Linked DNA regions of Macaca mulatta. The protein of the gene in region 1 purifies or fractionates together with the protein of each later gene. This does not show direct contact. Links are inferred from orthologs where the notes say so. Each region holds a gene or a part of one and is shown in the gene's direction. Other genes may lie near its edges.

Region 1 (4,214 bases):
GCTCTGACTGATAACACTGTTAAAGCTGCCCAAGCCTCTGATTTCCCACTACTTATCCTGGATTTGTAATAAGAATTTGGTGGGGGCCAAAATCTCAGAAGTCACCACTAAAGAACTTACCCGTGTAATCAAAAAACCACCTGTTCCCCAAAAACTATTGAAATTTTTTGAAAAAAATCTGTGTATAAGTGTACCACACAGCTCAGACCTGTGTTCAAGAATCAACGTAAATGCAAGTATAAAAAAGACTGGAAGGAAATACTCAAATATACTAACAGTCCTTTTTAACCTCTTGGTAAGGAATTTCCAGGCAGTTTATAAACTCATACTTTATTCTGCTTTCCAAATTATGTTCCTTAAAATGTGCTGCTTTGATAATTAGAAAATGGAATTTTTGAAATCCCTGAGAAGAAAATACAAAGTATGCCAGAAACTTTAGTAAAATGATTTGGAGTAGTGTGTCACTGTATACTGTATGTGTATTTTTACATACATATTATTTCCTTTCTGAAAAAGAATTGAAAAAAATTTTTGGTGAGGGGATGTAAACACAAAAGAAACTTTGCTTCAACTTTGGCAAATTCAAGTTTATTGTAGATACTTTAGATCTTTATATTATGTAGGTATTTATGCAAATTAAATGTGGTGTTTAAGAGAGGTTGTGCCTCCAGCCTGCTGCCCTTGTCTCCTAATGCCTTTGCTGACCAAATTAATCAGATTTTATTTTTAACCCTAAGTTAGAAATCTTACTGTATTTTTACTTCATTCTACTGAGAACCATAGGTTGATTTTTTTCATTCACAGTTTTGGCTTTTGTTTGTTGTGCTTTATATACGGAGAAATGCTATTTCTATGTTCCCATTTAGGAGTTTCATAATAGAAGAGCAGAGTTTCTTACTATGTGAAGATCTTCTCTATGGAAGAATGTCATTCAGAGGATTTAATCCTGAGGTTGAGGTATTAAATATAATTGCTTCAAATTTAAAATTTTTCCAATTGATTTTTTTTCTGCTAATAATTGGGCTTAGATATTTCTCTACCAAGTACCATTTCTACTCATTATATAGAAAATAACAAGTCTTGAAATATCACCATAGCTATTTAAAGAATTGCAGGCATTGTAGTCTAGTTTTGTGGTAGAGGTGAGTAGATAATTTCATATAGGGGTATACAGCCCTTGACAGTGCCACTGTAAATATTAGAATTTCAAGTTGAGTCGTTTACAGGAACGTCAAGATTTTATTCATATGATGCTATTATGAAAAGTTATTTTCTGGCACCTATAAATGTATTTTTTCTAATGGAAAAATGTTACTTTAGAATTGTATAATTTGACTTTTTAATGGACAGTTTTAATCCAAGCTTGTAAGTAGATTTTTAAATGAATCCTTTGGACAGTTTGTTTGAAAAACGAATATTTGCCTTATAACTGAGCTATTCATTTGAATTTCTGCTCCAGGATAGAGAAGCAGACCTTTATTTAACAAATATTCATTAGAACTCTGGCTCATATGTTAAAAGCCATCCTGTCAGGTACTTGATGAACCAAATGGACACTTGAGATATAAATCTTTAGTTTTGTAAATATTACACGAAGTCAGGGTTTCTCGCCCTTGGCAGTGTTGACATTTGGGGCCAGATAATTCTTTGTGGTGGTGGCTTTCTTAAGAGGATGATGAACCACATCCCTGTCCTCTGTTCTCTACCAACTAAATATCAGCACACACACACCCCACCCTCCAACCCAGTTGTGACAACCAAAAATGTTTCCAGGCATTGCCACAGGTTCCCTGGTGGGAAGAATCGTCCCCAGTTAAGAACCACTTCTGCAGGAGCCACAGTTAACTAAGCCAGTTGCCACAGTTTATTGAAAGACTCTAGATTAGTTTTCCTTTTCTGCTTTTTTGGCAGAGTGGAAGGAGGCATGTGTGATAATTAAGGTGTTATATTAGAAGTGTTTGTTTTTCATATCTACTGGTCTCACTTTGACCTGCTTTAATTAAGCTTCAGATTGAGAAGGAGAGGGGCTGCAGAGTGGGGTAAAAAGGGAAGAAAAAGGCAGGGATTATGAAGATGTGGTGTTCAAAGAGCACGGTTTGGATAGGCGAGCATTCCACAGTACGTCTGCTGCGCTGGGACAGGAGAGGTGCCACTGCCCGCAGAAATTGATGGGGGGCAGGGATGGGTGTTAGCAAATGGCCGTAATTACTGGATTCTGTAACACCGAATACACTCCCCCTAGGAAAAGGTTTTGAACTATTGTCACTCTTTTAAGCCTTAGAAAAACTAGTTGAGACTGATTTCTCATCTTGTATTCCTTCTCCTCTTGCTATAAAGAAGAGATTACACATTTAAAAAAAAAAAAAAAAAGGAAAGGTCAGAGGATAATTATCACAAAGGTTTATGTGAAAGAGTTGAAGGAGAGACCTGTGGTGCATGGATATTACATGGGATGCATTATCCACCCTAAAGTTTAGGAGGGTGGGGCTGAGGTGCAGATTCCCTCCATCATACAGGGCCAGCCTTCCACTTCTGCTGCCGCCTCCACGCACCACCACCACCACCACCAAGAGATGCATTTAAAATTATTGACTACTAGTGCTTCTTCCATTTGGCTTAAAGATGGAGTGGGGGAAGTTCAGAGAAAATCTGAAAGTTTATTATTTCTTCCCCCACTCACTGGAATGTGTCAGCAGTATGCCTGCTTTAAATATCAGTAACTAGTACTAAGATTTATGATCTTAAATACACTTTTAATTCACACTAAATATAATCCAGTGGGGCTTTGCCTATTTTTTTGACTCAGAGCTGACTTCTGTTAGACCATTGTGATATCAAGTATTACAGAGAGTCCCTTATCAATTTTAACTAGTTCTCTAGATTATTTGACTTCGGTTTCTCTGCCTTCAAAGAAGTTTGACATCAGTTCCTTTCACAAGCGTTTTCTAGCCTGAAGGTCAGCACTGGTGTATTTTTCAGAAATTGATGCTTCAGATGAATGCTAAGCACAAAGCAGAAGAAGTCGAAGATGAAACAGTGGAGCTTGATGTGTCAGATGAAGAGATGGCTAGAAGGTAACCGTCCTGCGCAGCAGCTTTCTAATCTGGACCAAGCATTCATTGGCTCTCCCAGGAATGCTTCTCTTACCCCACAGTCCACGGCAGCTTTCAAGGGAGTCCCCCTAGTAGGAAGATGACTGTGATCAGCCTTCTCTTAATGGCCTGCAGGGGCCGCAGACCTGTCTCAGGCTGCCAGTTGAGAGCCCATTTCCAGAGCTGCTGGAAATGTGTATTTTTAAATGTACATCTCAATTTATTTAGGGTAATGCAAACACCAAAATGGCAAGGAATTTAATCACTCTTGGAGAAGTTCATAAATTGTTAAATCAGATGGTTTCTTTTAATCATAGTTTTCTTTTTCTTAATCTTTTTTATTGCATATTTGGTCTGATATTCTTGACAAGGTTTGATTCCTACCTTTTTATTTGAAATTAAACGTGCTGTCTATCCTCTTGACAGATATGAGACCTTGGTGGGGACAATTGGGAAAAAGTTTGCCAGAAAGAGAGACCATGCCAATTACGAAGAAGATGAAAATGGAGACATAAAACCGATTAAAGCAAAGAAGATGTTCTTAAAGCCCCAGGATTAAGATGGATGCCTTAAGCAATGGACCATGGGTGCTTGATGGAAGTCAGCAGCGCATCTGGAGCTCATCCCGATAGCGTCTCTATAGTTATTAATACTGTAACGTTTACTTTGTAAAGAGATGTATCATTTTGGAACCATGCTGTTTAAAAAAACAGATGTGTGATGGATGTTGTACATCCTTTGCTTCATGGTATTCATTCATAAATTTTTAGCCCCTGATCTACAAATGTATATGTTTTTACAGGGCTGCTTCCTAAAGTTTTTTTGACCTCGGGTTTATCGTAATATAGTTCTCCAGTCACTGACCTTGAATTGACTCATATAAATTACTGCCAATGTTTAAATTGCCCTTATGTTTATATTTAAATTATTATGTCAAGCCAATTCATACATACAGTTTGGAATCAAATATTCTAAGAATTTATTAAATAAATTTATCAAGAATAAATATGCCTCTCCAGGCTTAAGTGTTTACGTGCTCCCAGGTCATTGTCAGTTTATGGTATTGTGTTATTTAAAGCATTGAATTAATAGAAAAAAATTGCTCTGTAATAAAAACCTGCT
Region 2 (4,193 bases), on another chromosome or scaffold:
TGTTTCCCAAGGGGAAAGTCGACTGAGGGGACAGGGAGGGACAGGCGGCAAAGCCATCAGAAGTCAGGTGAACTGAGATCAAAGTCGTGGGCAATGTCATCTGGACAAGGACGCTGCTCTCGGGATGTTTGCAATCTCAAGTAGGAGATACCAGACATCAATAAAGAGTAGCATTTTATTCACGTGCAGACCTCCCTTCTGGGGTAACACGCTGAGAAGAAAAAGTAGCAACTTTATTTTGGGGCTGCTTATCTTTTGATGACGGGCCCACACAACCAGAGTTCGGCTTTTTCAACCTGAGAAAGCTTACTTAAGTGGGGATGGGAGGCCGCGAAGAGGATCGGACCGCAGGACTGGAAGCTACAGTTAAAAAACCGGGAAAAGGCCGGGCGCGGTGGCTCACTTTGGGAGGAATCACCTGTAATTCCTGCACTTTGGGAGGCTGAGGCGGGCGGCTCAAGAGATCGAGACCATCCTGGCCAACATAGTGAAACCCCGTCTCTACTGAAAATACAAAAATTAGCTGGGCGTGATGGCGCGCGCCTGTAGTCCCAGCTGCGCGGGAGGCTGAGGCAGGAGAATCGCTTGATGCCAGGAGGCGGAGGTTGCAGTGCGCAGAGATCGCGCCACTGCACTCCAGCCTGGCCAAAGAGCGAGACTCCTTTTCAAAAACAAAACAAAACAAAAACCGGGAAAAGGTTTTATTTCTCAATGACAGCCGCGAGGTGAAACTGCGATGGACTGGAAGTCAAAAATCGCGGGTTCCAGTTTGGGCTCTATCTTGAAGATTTTGGACAAGTCAAACCCGGTCTCTGAATCTGAGGTTCCACATCTGTGAAACAGACGAGTTGGGTCGCTTGACCTCCTTCCTTCCTGCTCTGAACGTAACGGTTGCTCGCAAGGTGCGCTCCGGCTGAGGAGGGCGCAGCCCCGCAGGGCAGGGCGAGGAGAGAGCAGGAACCTGGACTCAAGACAAGGCCCCAGGGCATTGCCCGACCCAGAAAAAGGGACTAGGATGGGGAGCAAGGGCCGAGGCTTCGCCCTTACCTGCCGCCTGCCGACTCCCCAGTCAGCCAAACCGAGCCCCGCAGCCTCTGCCGCCGCTCACTGCCACCCTCTCCGACTCGGCGCCCCGGCCGGGCCCGGCTCAATCCAAACCACCATGGCCCGCCGCCTGCAGTGCCACCCAGCGGACCCGGACCTGCCGCCAGCCCATCCTCAACCACACGCGCAGGCGCAAGCATGGAGCGCTGAAGTTCCGCCCCCGGATTTGTCCCGGGGTAACCTGGGAAATGGAGTTTACACGCAAGGATAAAGAACACCAATTGACGCGTATCTTACTGCGGAACTGTGCCTGGGTTTGGCCAATGAGAAATCGATTTCGTTTTCATCCGGCTTTTGGGACAGCGGCAATCATGGCACCACCTGTGAGATACTGTATTCCCGGTAAGTGAGCGCTTCCCGTACAGAGTCCTGGATAGGGGCCGAAGCAAGAAGCCTGGACGGCCTGCAGTTTCTGGGGGCCCATGACCGATGCAGCATTTTTTCTGCAGGCGAACGTCTGTGTAACTTGGAGGAGGGCAGCCCGGGCAGCGGCACCTACACCCGCCACGGCTACATCTTTTCGTCGCTTGCCGGCTGCCTGATGAAGAGCAGCGAGAACGGCGCGGTAAAGGAAGCGGCATGCCGTCTCCTCTCTCTCTGTTTTTCCCTTAGGCTGCCCTTGAGTTCCAGTCCTTAGGCATGGGCACTGCGGACGCGTGTTTAGAGCCTTAGTGGTACAATGTTGGTCTCTTAGTTTCTTCTAGCCGTATCGCCGCTGTTGTGCACTTAGCCACCACACACTAGTTGTGTTGATCTCGCTTGGTTGTGCTGCTGACCCTCGGGGAGGGAGGTTGGGACAAAAGCAGATGCGAACTCAGTAACCTAGCCCAGCTCAGCCCAGCAGTGCGTTGTATACTGTATGAATGTTGCTTACCTCTCCGGCTTACCTCTAGTGCCACTATCTCCACCTCACTGACGCGATCTAATCATACAGTCTTTTCTATTTGTAAAAGTTATAATCACAGTTTTGGCTTGCCCTTTTAAAAAAATTTGTAACACACTAGCTTCTTTCAGTGTCGGTAATGTGCCAAGCTTTCTCCTGCTACAGAGCCTTTGTAACATGCCATCTATCTGGAACGCTTCTGTCTTCTTAGGCCTGTTTAATTCCTACCTCCGTTAGTTTCTGTATTATCACCTCAGAGAAGCCCTTCTGGACCCACTAATTGAGGAAAGGAGTTTTGTGGGATGTTTTGTTTTTGTTTGTTTTGTTAAAGACTTACAAAAAAACTCTGTCCCTTTTCTTCCAAGCACTTATGTCAGCATATGATTAGACACTCAGGTATGTTTCCCACTAGACTTCTCCCTTGCTTAAATCTAAGTTCCACGAAGTGCAGGTGCTACCACCATACCATCAGTATCTAGCACAAAGCAGCTCCTCAATAAATGTTTGTTGAATGCGTAATACCTACTTTTCTAGTTTTAGAGATTGATCCAGGATTAGCTCAGGATCATATAAGCAATATTTGAAGGAGCACAGTAGAAAGAGGATTCAGAATTAGAACCGTTAGGTTCTGGCTAACTTGACCTCGATTCTGCTTTGAGTAAGTAACTTAAGCCGTCTGACTCAAGGGGCTTTCTATTCAGTCATTGTTGGGAATGTCCTTAACAGTCCTGAGTTTGTTCATTTGATAGATACCACTTGAGTATTTTCATGTGTCAGGCACAGCGCTGACTTGGTTTCTGCTATCAAAGGACACAGACACAAATTGTAAACAAATAAATGCTCAAATAAGCATATGGTTACACATGTGGTGGCTGCTTTGAAAGAATATTACAGGGCACCTTAAGAACATGTAACAGGCAAATCCATCCTAGTCAGCAGAAGTGACATTGAAGCTGAATCATCTAAAGAGTAGGTTAGAGTCAGGTGGGTGGAGAGAGTGCAATTCTGGCAAAAAGAATAGGTTGAAGAGAGATCTGAAAGTGGGAAGAATTTAGTAAGTTGGGGAAACTGAAAGAAGGCCAGGAGAGCTGAAGCATTGTAAGCAACGGAGAGATTGTTAAAAGATGAGGCTCAAAATATCTGTCTCATACCAACAGCCAATACCATGCTCAAAGAGAAAACTCTGCAAGTATTCACTTAAAACAAGCGTAGCTACTATTTGTAACATTTCTGTGGAAATTTCAGCCTGTGCAGTAAAATAAGAAACAGAAAGAAGCAGTATAACTTTGGAGGAAAGAGTAAAATTGTCAGCCAGATGTAGTGGCTCACGCCTGTAATCCCAGCACTTTGGGAAGCCAAGGTGGGTTGATCACCTGAGGTCAGGTGTTCGAGACCAGTCTGACCAACATGGTGAAACCCCATCTCTACTAAAAATACAAAAAATTACCCGAGCATGGTGGCAGGCGTCTGTAATCCCAACTACTCGGGAGGCTGAGGCAGGAGAATCACTTGAACCCAGGAGGTGGAGGTTGCAGTGAACCGAGATGGCGCCATTGCACTCCACTCTGGGCAACAAGAGTGAAACTCCATCTCAAAAAAAAACCAAAAAAAGTAAAATTGTCAATGATTATAGGCAATATAGTTGTATACCAAGAAATTCTGAGAGAATCACCAGAAAACTTATTGGAAGTTTAGGGATTTACTACAAAAAAAATTAGCCGGGCGTGGTGGCAGGTGCCTGTAGTCTCAGCTACTTGGGAGGCTGAGGCTGGAGAATGGCATGAACCCGGGAGGTGGAGCTTGCAGTGAGCCGAGAATATGCCACTGCACTCCAGCCTGGGCAACAGAGCAAGACTCCATCTCCAACGACAACAAAAAAAAAGAAGTTTAGAGGTTTACATCTTCTAGCAGCATTCTGTAGCCCCCTGGTCCTCCTATTTCCTAAAATTTCTAAGGCCTTCTGCTCTGGCCTATAAATGAATGCATACTCCAGCTCTCACCTGTGTACCAAGACATTCCTATATTACTCTCAAGACACAAATGCTTTGACCCAAGAGTTAGCCAGGACATTTCAGTTTTTTTCTTTTTCCCTCTGTAGCTTCCTGTGGTGTCTGTAGTAAGAGAAACAGAGTCCCAGTTACTGCCAGATGTCGGAGCTATTGTAACCTGTAAGGTAAGTTTGTCCTAACTTCCATGCTTAGAACGC
Region 3 (4,282 bases), on another chromosome or scaffold:
TCACCAAGCAGACTATAAAGTCCCTAAATGCAGGACCTGTATTTTACTCATCTGTGAATAGCACGGTAATTACTTACAAGCCTGCTTTGAATTCAGTCAGATTCTGGCTTGAATATTGATCCCACCACTTAATAACTGGGTAACCTTGGCCACTTAACTTCCCTAACCCTGCTTTATAGTTTATAAGATAGGAATGATAATTCCCCATTCCTTTGACTTGTGGAAATTAAATGGGACACGTATACAAAGCTGCTAGTGCAGCTCAAAAGTCTTAGTTGAGTGCTTGGAAGAACAGTGGATTCTATCCAAACAAGGGTATGTGATCTCAGAAGAGACCGTGTGTATCTCTTTATCAAGACGTACAGGCTGGGCGTAGTGGCTCACGCCTGTAATCCCAGCACTTTGGGAGGCTGAGGTAGGAGGATCACTTGAGCCCAGGAGTTTGAGACCAGCCTGGGTAACATAGTGAGACACTCCCATTTCTACCAAAAAAAAAAAAAAAAAGAAGAAAAGAAAAGAAAAAAAAAAGCTAGGCGTGGTGAAGATCGCTTGTGCCCAGGAGTTCGGGGACTGCAGTGAGCCGAGCCGTGATCATATATTACACTCCAGCCTGAGTGACAGAGCAAGACCCTGTCCAAAAAAAAAAAAAAAAAAAAAGCTATTAATACAAACATGTATACGTTTGTGATTGTGTCACAGTGGCAGTTTAAAGGAGAAATCCTTTGCCAGAGGTTGCAAAAGCTATAAAAGTTAGAGTGGAACAGTGCTTCAAGGGAAGAGATTGGTTTTCATTTTATCTGCATTGTTTGAATATATAAGTACATGATAACTTCAATAGGGATACCAAAACAAATAAATAAATTTTAAAAAGAACATGAAAGGCCAGGCGCAGCAGCTCACACCTATAATCCCAACACTTTGGGAGGCCGAAGCAGGTGGATCGCTTGAGACCAGCCTGGCCAACAGAGCAAGACCCGCCCCCCTCACCCCCCTATAGAGATAGACAAAAAAAGAAAAAAACTTTTTAAAAAGTACATGTAATTTAAAATGAATACAACTTTTTAGAAATGTTGGGCTGGCAGGGTTGCCGGCTTATTTGGTGAGTCTTTCACCTCGTTTGGAGATAGCGAGAGCAACGAAGAGAAAACATTAATTACCAGGTATTGGTATTAATACGGCGGCTCCATTCCCACATGGACCTGGGGGGACAAAAACTCCTAATCTTGGACAGCTGCGCCCAGCCCTTCTTCACCTGCGGTCCAGGTATCATCCTAGTCTTCCCTCCGTCTCTGGGGTGGGTCGTTTCCAACCCTCCGCCCTGGTCCAGGCCACTGAGGGAAGGGAACAAAACTAAGGCCGGGAGGGCCGGGCCCCAGCCTGGAGTGTGTGGCTCCGGGCCTCCCCCGGGTGCGGCAGTTACGGCGGTTCCGGAGCCGCGGCGCCCAGGGCCGAGGGGCGGGCCCGAAGCCGCGGCCTCGCCTCCGCCGCGCCGGCCGCTCCCGCCGCTCCGCGGCCTCCCGGAGACACGCCGCCATGCTGCAGAAGCGGGAGAAGGTGCTGCTGCTGAGGACCTTCCAGGGCCGCACGCTGCGGATCGTGCGCGAGCACTACCTGCGGCCCTGCGTGCCCTGCCACAGCCCGCTCTGCCCGCAGCCAGCCACCTGCAGCCACGGTCAGGGCCGGGGCGGGGACGGGGCCGGCGGGAGCGGGCGGGACTGGGCGGCTGCGGTGACGGGGTGAGCGCGGCCCAGAGGCGGAGCGCCAGCGGCGGGGACACCGAGGCGTAGGCCCCGCGGCCTGCGCCCGCCCGCCGGCCTCACACCCAGCCCTCTGCCGGTCGGGACCCAGCGGCCCAAGTCCGCGGCTTCCGGGGTGCCCCGCCCGGGACTCCCCGACTGCTCCGCTCTGTCCAGTGGGAGAGCCCGAGAGACCCGCACCCCATCCCGGAGACCGGGTGGCTTGGCTCCTCAGAGGGGCCCAAGGGCGCGGAAGCCGAGCGTTCCTCCCGCCGCAACCTCGCGCGGCGGAGAAATGGGGAGGTCCCGAGCCGGGAGCCCCCGGGAGCTGCGGGCCAGCTGCTGCCGCTGCGAAGCTGACATCATCTGCTTTGCAGCCACAGGTTTCCTGACCTACCCGCACTGGTGCCCCAGACTTTCCCGCCCGTGGAGAGCCTCTTCACCGTAGTTTTGTGAACTATCTGGGCCCGCACTGGAGAGGAAAGTCACGGGGAGGTTGGACTGGGGACTCCTGGGCCCCTGTCCTTGGTTTCTAGGCTGCAAGGGTGGCCGATAGAACGATGCGCGCGTTACTGGCTCTCTTCCCCCATGGGAGGATGAGCATGGGATGGGGGTCCTTGTCAGCGAATGTTTGGAATCCTCCAGACATTGTGATTAAGATGAACATTTCAGTTAGAGCTTGGCTAACCGGCTCTCAGATACGGGCCTGGTGGAAACCCCACCTCTGCCCGTTGCTTGCACGGATCATTTTCTCCATTCAATCTTTCTGGCTCTTGGAGGCTGCTGAGCACGTGCAGAAGCTTGACACAGAGCCAACTTGAAATTGCTGGGCATCATACACAAGTGGTATAAATGTGGGGGTGCTTCATTTGAATGTGTTTGTCAATGATGAGGTAACACTGAAATATTCAGGTTATGCTGAAAATGTGCTTGTTCGTTGTTAAATCAGTCATCCTCTCCGGCACCTCTGGCAACACCATAAACCACGTTGAGCTTGTATTTATTACAGCTTCAAAAAAAATTAGGGTGCTCAATATACCTGAACTTTGGGTCTTTTAAAAACTCCCACCGTGGAGTTAAGACTGGAAGTTATTTTGTATGCCAGAGCACCGTGACATTTAAATAAACCAGGTTTGAAAACATTGTCTAATCTCTTACATTTTGAATTATGTTCCAGATGGGAAACTCTTGTCTAGTGATGTGACTCATTACGTGATCCCAGACTGGAAAGTTGTTCAAGATTATCTTGAGATCCTTGAGTTTCCTGAATTGAAAGGAATTATTTTCATGCAAACAGCTTGTCAAGCAGTGCAGCATCAAAGAGGCCGGAGGTATACGTTTTGCATTCTTTATTTCTATATGGCATAGGTTCCCCCCCACCTTAGAAAAGCTCCCTTGTTGGAGGAGGATGGGAGGAATTCATTATTTTGTCAGAAAGGACTTTTTAAACTAATTTTGTATTCTCTTTGATAGTGAGGAATGCAGTAACATTATTTTATATTTCTGCTGCAACACCTGGCCAAGAGATCTGACTGTAGATCAATAAACTGCAGTGTCCCCAGTATGTGGGTATTTAAGATTCTAGTGTGAATTGGCTTTTGGCTTGCATTTTTATAGTGGTAGGGTTACTGCTTATTTCTTGTTGATAATGTGTATTATTTAATCTTATTTATAGATACATTGTTTCAGAAGCATACATTCTTTTCTTGGGGAAAAGAGTACTTTATTTTTAAATTTTAGACTCCTTTATTGGAGATGCAAATTGTAATGATTTATTCAGTAAAACCAGAAATAGCTTGTTTTATTTTTAGATTACTAGTGTAACTACCAGCCATAGTCATTGTATTTGCTAAACAAAGCATTTCCAATTGAACCAGTCTAAAATTCTTGCCTTGTACTTAAATGAAGAATAGTTGTCTACTTTTTAAACAAATACCTTAAAAAACGATTTCGCTTCCTTTAATGTTGAGAAAGGTTTATGACTTGAACTTAAGACTGTATGGAAATAGCATATTAGAATTATATGTCCAACCTCTTAACACTCTAAGTTATTTAATAAGCACAAACTATGCATTTATTCTTTTTTAAAATGTTGTGGTTTCTTCAGGCCTTGGTAATAAAAGATGAAGTGTTTTTATTTGTATATGAAAATGACAAATTGTCCTCTTATTATACACTCAGTTCAAAAAATGTACATTAACCAGATTGTGTGCAGGTTTTTTTCAGACAGAATATTTTTAAATGAGCTTCAAGTTGATTTTGTTCAGACACCAAGATATAGATGTTTATACAGATCCAAATTTAAATGCTGCTCCAGGTGTCATATTTCAATTTCTGCTACTAAAATCAATTTGTTGTTATCATTCGGATTGCTAACACACTGCGAGCCTTTTCAACTTCTGTTTTCTAAAATATTTTTAATGTTAAGGATTGTTTTAGAAACCAATTTCTGGGACATTCAAAGACAAAGAGTTGGAATTTAAACGTCTTTTCTCCTGAACATTTCAAGAGTAGTTAACTTGATGAAAAACTATTGGTTTTCCACT
Region 4 (4,295 bases), on another chromosome or scaffold:
CCTGGAAGCTTCATCTCAGAGGGGCACCCACCTGTATGAATTGTTAGTTGGCCCCTACAGAGAGGTGTCTCCAGTTAGGCTACTCAGGGGTCAGGGACCCACTTGAGGAGGCAGTCTGTCCGTTCTCAGATCTCAAACTCCGCGCTGGGAGAAGCAGTACTCTCTTCAAAGCTGTCAGATAGGGACGTTTAAGTCTGCAGAAGTTTCTGCTGTCTTTTTTTCAGTTATGCCCCACCCCCAGAGGTGGAGTCTACAGAGGCAGGCAGGCTTCCTTGAGCTGCGGTGGGCTCCACCCAGTTCCAGCTTCCCAGCCACTTTGTTTACCTACTCAAGCCACAGTAATGGCAGATGTCCCTCCCTGAGCCTCGCTGCTGCCTTGCAGTTCGATCTCAGACTGCTGTGCTAGCAGTGAGCAAGGCTCTGTGGGTGTGGGACCCTCCGATCCTGGCACGGGATATAATCTCCTGGTGTGCCGTTTGCTAAGACCGCTGGAAAAATGCAGTATTAGGGTGGGAGTGTACTGATTTTCCAGTTATGGTCTATCACGGTTTCCCTTTGCCAGGAAAGGGAATTCCCGGACCCCTTGTGCTTCCCAGGTGAGGTCATGCCCCGCCCTGCTCTGTGGGCTCCACCCACTGTCTGAGAAGCCCTAGTGAGATGAACTTGGTACCTCAGTTGGAAATGCAGAAATCACCTGTCTTCTGCCTCACTCACACTGGGAGCTGCAGATTGGAGCTGTTCCTATTCGGCCATCTTGTGACCTCCCCCAAACTTTAAATATTACATACATGGTGCTTGTTCAAAATGCTTTTACATGCATTTAATATATGGACAACTCAGGCATAAATTTTTATCAAATTATGATCATGGAATGACAAGTTACAAATGTTAAGACAATGCTCAATCGCTTATACTAAACTTTCAACGAACAATATGTACAGTTTCTGTTAATGCCTTTATTTTCTATTATGTTTCTTCTGATTGCATACGTTGAAATGCAATTTTACATTTACTGAAACTAATAATAAAAAATTTGGGCTTGTATTTTGCACATATTTTCCCCATTTTTCTACTAATTCATTTTTACTGTATTATAGAAGTATCTTTTACTGACAGATTGGAAAAACAACCCATTCTTCCCCACGGATAATCTGGGAAGCTGCTCTAAGACGCTGATCTTGAGGCAGACAATAAAAGCGTAGTAACAGTGAGGGCCCTGGAAAAGCTCCCGGGAAAGTAAAAATACAAAGTTTCAGTAACTAAGATTTCTTTCCTGGTTAAATACACTCAACCTGTATTTGGGCTGAGTGTTGGCCGGGTACAAATGTAGACAAAGGTTCCCAGAGTGCCGCCGCAATCCTCTCCCACAACATGGCCCCGAGCTACTCATTTCGAGATTTGCCTTTAGAGAAGAGCGAAGGAGCGGGGGCGTGGCGAGCAGCGTGAGATAATCGGAAAGCGCCCCTCGGCGCGGGCACAGCCGGCGCGTCATTGTCGTCATCGTTGCCCGACCGCTTTCCGGAGACTGTAGTCGAAGGCCCTGAGGTATTTTTCAAAGTTGTACTTTCAGTTTTTCTCCTCCTCCTGTTTAACTCCGCTTTTCCTCTCCTGGGATTCCCCTGTAATCCTCTGGGCAGACTGAGAGAATCGGAGTTTGGCTGCATAGCCTTCCAGGAATGCAGTGTCTCACAGCTCTTCGCTGGGGCAGCATTGCTGCAGGTCCCCCACTTCCGCTTGTTTTGGGGCTGCTTGCAGGCTTTGGCTTACCCCGGCCCCTCATTTCTCTCTCTTGCTCCGGTCTTTCTCTTTTTCTTCGTTTGTTAACCACCCCCTTCTCAACTCTTGGAAGACGAAAAAATTAAAAACAACAACAACAAAAAAAACATGACTTCACAATTTTCAGCTGTCTTCAAATCTTGCGTAAGGAGAGAGGCTAAAGTGGGACGTCTAGGGGAGTCACTTTACTGTGTTAGCTCCGTTTATCATTCACATTCACAGACTGCCTGCCGCTGCAGTATTAGCCCGTCTGAGATAGTGGGCTAATTTCGACCTTTAGCTGAAATCTGTGGTGGGTAATCCAAGAGAGCAGTTTTTCTTGATGACCCGGGAAAGTTCAGTGTAACTAAAACTTGCTTGAAAATACCTTTAATGTCTTCATGTTTGCTGAATACAATTCAGTTTTGGCTTGATACAGACTTATTTGTCGCAATGAGATGTCTGCTATCCACTTATTAACCCATTGGTACTGTCTGATGGTAGACAGAACCAAGACTTAACCGTGATTTTTAAAAAAATTAAATTTAAAATTTTTGTGGTTACATAGTAGGTGTATATATTTATGGGGTACACGAGATGTTTTGATACAGGCAGGCAATGTGTAATAATCACATGGAAAATGGGGCATCCATCCCTTCAGGCACTTACCCTTTGTGTTACAAACAATCCAATTATACTTTTAGTTATTTAACCCTGTATTTTTGATTCAAAATTAACAGATTAGCCCTGTCGAAGTACAGAGAAGTATTTGCGTTTAGTGGAAATGATAGAACTCATTGTTTTGTTGAAAGATAATGATAAGTGTGAATAATGGTTTTTCAAAATAAAACAAAATTCTCAGTCAAAAGATACTACAGCTGCCTTCAGTTAGCTGTGTTGTATGTATCACAGTTCAGAAGTAATGCAATTTTTTTTCTTAACTGCTTTTACCTTTTCAAATGGCTCTTCATATGTATTATCTCAGCTACTGTTTCCAAACAGTTGACCCTTCAAGCATAGCTCTACATAGTCCACAATGGATTAGAGTATTTGATAACTTTCACTTTTGGTAAAATACTATCTAATGTATTGAGGGCTGAGCCAGGCCCTGTTCTGATGGCTTTTATCTATATTATTTATTTAATCTATGCAGCAACCCCATATACTGTTATTTAAGAAATGAGGTGATTGTAATAAGCCACTTCCATATGTTTTGGAAGGTAATTTTGCTGCTTGATCGCTGTAATTTTGGAAATGCTTTGAATTAAACACTGAATAGAAGTAAATTTAATCTAATGTAGTTATTCATCTCAATCTTGAGCAATATCCTCATAATTTATATACTCCTCTATTATTAGACTTCTGGATACATTTATTTTTAGATGTTAATATCTTTTTTAGAAAAGGAAGAAGTCTGTATGTACTCAGGAATTGTACTGTGAGACTGAAGGAGAGTCACAGACAATACTAACATGGAGTCACTGTTTGCCCAAGACAGCAATATTTATTGAGAACTTGTGTGTACATTTCATTGTTATTTTCTCCTGAGATAATGCAGTGCAAAAAAGCCATTCCAGTAATTCATTACGAGTGATAGAATTCTGGTGCAGCAACAGCAAGTGGCTCTCAAGTTCCAAAACACAATCATGTTGGATTTATTCTCAAGCTTAGTTCATAACTGTGTATAATTATTTGGTGTAGAGATGGGAAGAGCCCCAGAACGTACATGATCATATGTTTGTTTGGATCCATGTGGTGACTTTCTATTATCTGTAAGCTCAAACTGTAATCTGATATTAAGAGTTTCCAAAATTAGGTCTTAGGTTACTTTGGTTGGTTTTAGTTAGTTAACAAATAGTTGCTAAATACCTAATACATGACAAGACATTATGTTAGTGATGTGTTCAAAATGTACCTCGACATGAATCTTACCTTGAGGAATAGCCCAGTGAGTAAATAACCAATGGAAAGGTAAGAGCAGAGGAGTGACATGATCTGACTTAGGTTTATTTTATTTTACTTTATGTTTTATTTTGTTTTACTTTACTTTATTGTCTGTTCTTTTGTTTTCTTTTGTTTCCTTTCCTGCCCTGCCCTGCCCCGCCCCGCCCCACCCCACCTCACCCCCCCCACTTCTTTTCTTTCGGAGTCTGGCTCTGTTGCCCAGGCTGGAGTGCAGTGGTGCAATCTCAGCTCACTGCAACCTCCGCCTCCTGGGTTCCAACGATTCTCCTGCCTCAGCCTCCTAAGTAGCTGGGATTACAGGCACGTGTCACCACGCCCGGCTAATTTTTTTTGTATTTTTAGTAGAAATGGGGTTTCACCATGTTGGCCAGGCTGGTCTTAAACTTCTGACCTCAGGTGATCTGCCTGTCTTGGCCTCCCAAAGTGCTGGGATTACAGGCGTCAGCCACTGCGCCTGGCCTGACTTAGGTTTTAATAGAATCTTCTGTGGCTTCTGTGTTAAGAATAGTTTGTTGTGGGGTGGGGTAGGTGAAAACCATGAGACTAATCATGGAGGTGTTGTAGTTCAGATGAGA

The links. Proteins that work in one complex are often made in the same cells at the same time.
Region 2: the proteins of MPHOSPH6 (region 1) and EXOSC1 purify together in Homo sapiens (affinity purification with mass spectrometry; 5 studies listed by BioGRID and IntAct, counting the BioPlex papers as one, with this or other methods). This does not show direct contact. The link is inferred for Macaca mulatta from reciprocal best matches to the Homo sapiens genes MPHOSPH6 and EXOSC1.
Region 3: the proteins of MPHOSPH6 (region 1) and DIS3L purify together in Homo sapiens (affinity purification with mass spectrometry; 3 studies listed by BioGRID and IntAct, with this or other methods). This does not show direct contact. The link is inferred for Macaca mulatta from reciprocal best matches to the Homo sapiens genes MPHOSPH6 and DIS3L.
Region 4: the proteins of MPHOSPH6 (region 1) and C1D purify together in Homo sapiens (co-immunoprecipitation; 3 studies listed by BioGRID and IntAct, counting the BioPlex papers as one, with this or other methods). This does not show direct contact. The link is inferred for Macaca mulatta from reciprocal best matches to the Homo sapiens genes MPHOSPH6 and C1D.

Annotation. Positions count from the first base shown.
Region 1 is NC_133425.1:77,514,612-77,518,825, reverse strand, and holds the end of MPHOSPH6 (M-phase phosphoprotein 6), read left to right. Parts: intron 1-866; coding exon 867-957; intron 958-2,979; coding exon 2,980-3,074; intron 3,075-3,518; coding exon 3,519-3,651; 3' UTR 3,652-3,708; downstream 3,709-4,214. UniProt on the Homo sapiens protein: RNA-binding protein that associates with the RNA exosome complex. Involved in the 3'-processing of the 7S pre-RNA to the mature 5.8S rRNA and play a role in recruiting the RNA exosome complex to pre-rRNA; this function may include C1D.
Region 2 is NC_133414.1:109,495,409-109,499,601, reverse strand, and holds the start of EXOSC1 (exosome complex component CSL4), read left to right. Parts: upstream 1-1,391; 5' UTR 1,392-1,415; coding exon 1,416-1,446; intron 1,447-1,553; coding exon 1,554-1,669; intron 1,670-4,085; coding exon 4,086-4,160; intron 4,161-4,193. UniProt on the Homo sapiens protein: Non-catalytic component of the RNA exosome complex which has 3'->5' exoribonuclease activity and participates in a multitude of cellular RNA processing and degradation events.
Region 3 is NC_133412.1:43,767,813-43,772,094, forward strand, and holds the start of DIS3L (DIS3-like exonuclease 1), read left to right. Parts: upstream 1-1,480; 5' UTR 1,481-1,533; coding exon 1,534-1,672; intron 1,673-1,755; exon of another isoform or gene 1,756-2,031; coding exon of another isoform or gene 2,032-2,119; intron 2,120-2,913; coding exon 2,914-3,067; intron 3,068-4,282. UniProt on the Homo sapiens protein: Catalytic component of the RNA exosome complex which has 3'->5' exoribonuclease activity and participates in a multitude of cellular RNA processing and degradation events.
Region 4 is NC_133418.1:56,665,846-56,670,140, forward strand, and holds the start of C1D (nuclear nucleic acid-binding protein C1D), read left to right. Parts: upstream 1-1,493; 5' UTR 1,494-1,545; intron 1,546-4,295. UniProt on the Homo sapiens protein: Plays a role in the recruitment of the RNA exosome complex to pre-rRNA to mediate the 3'-5' end processing of the 5.8S rRNA; this function may include MPHOSPH6.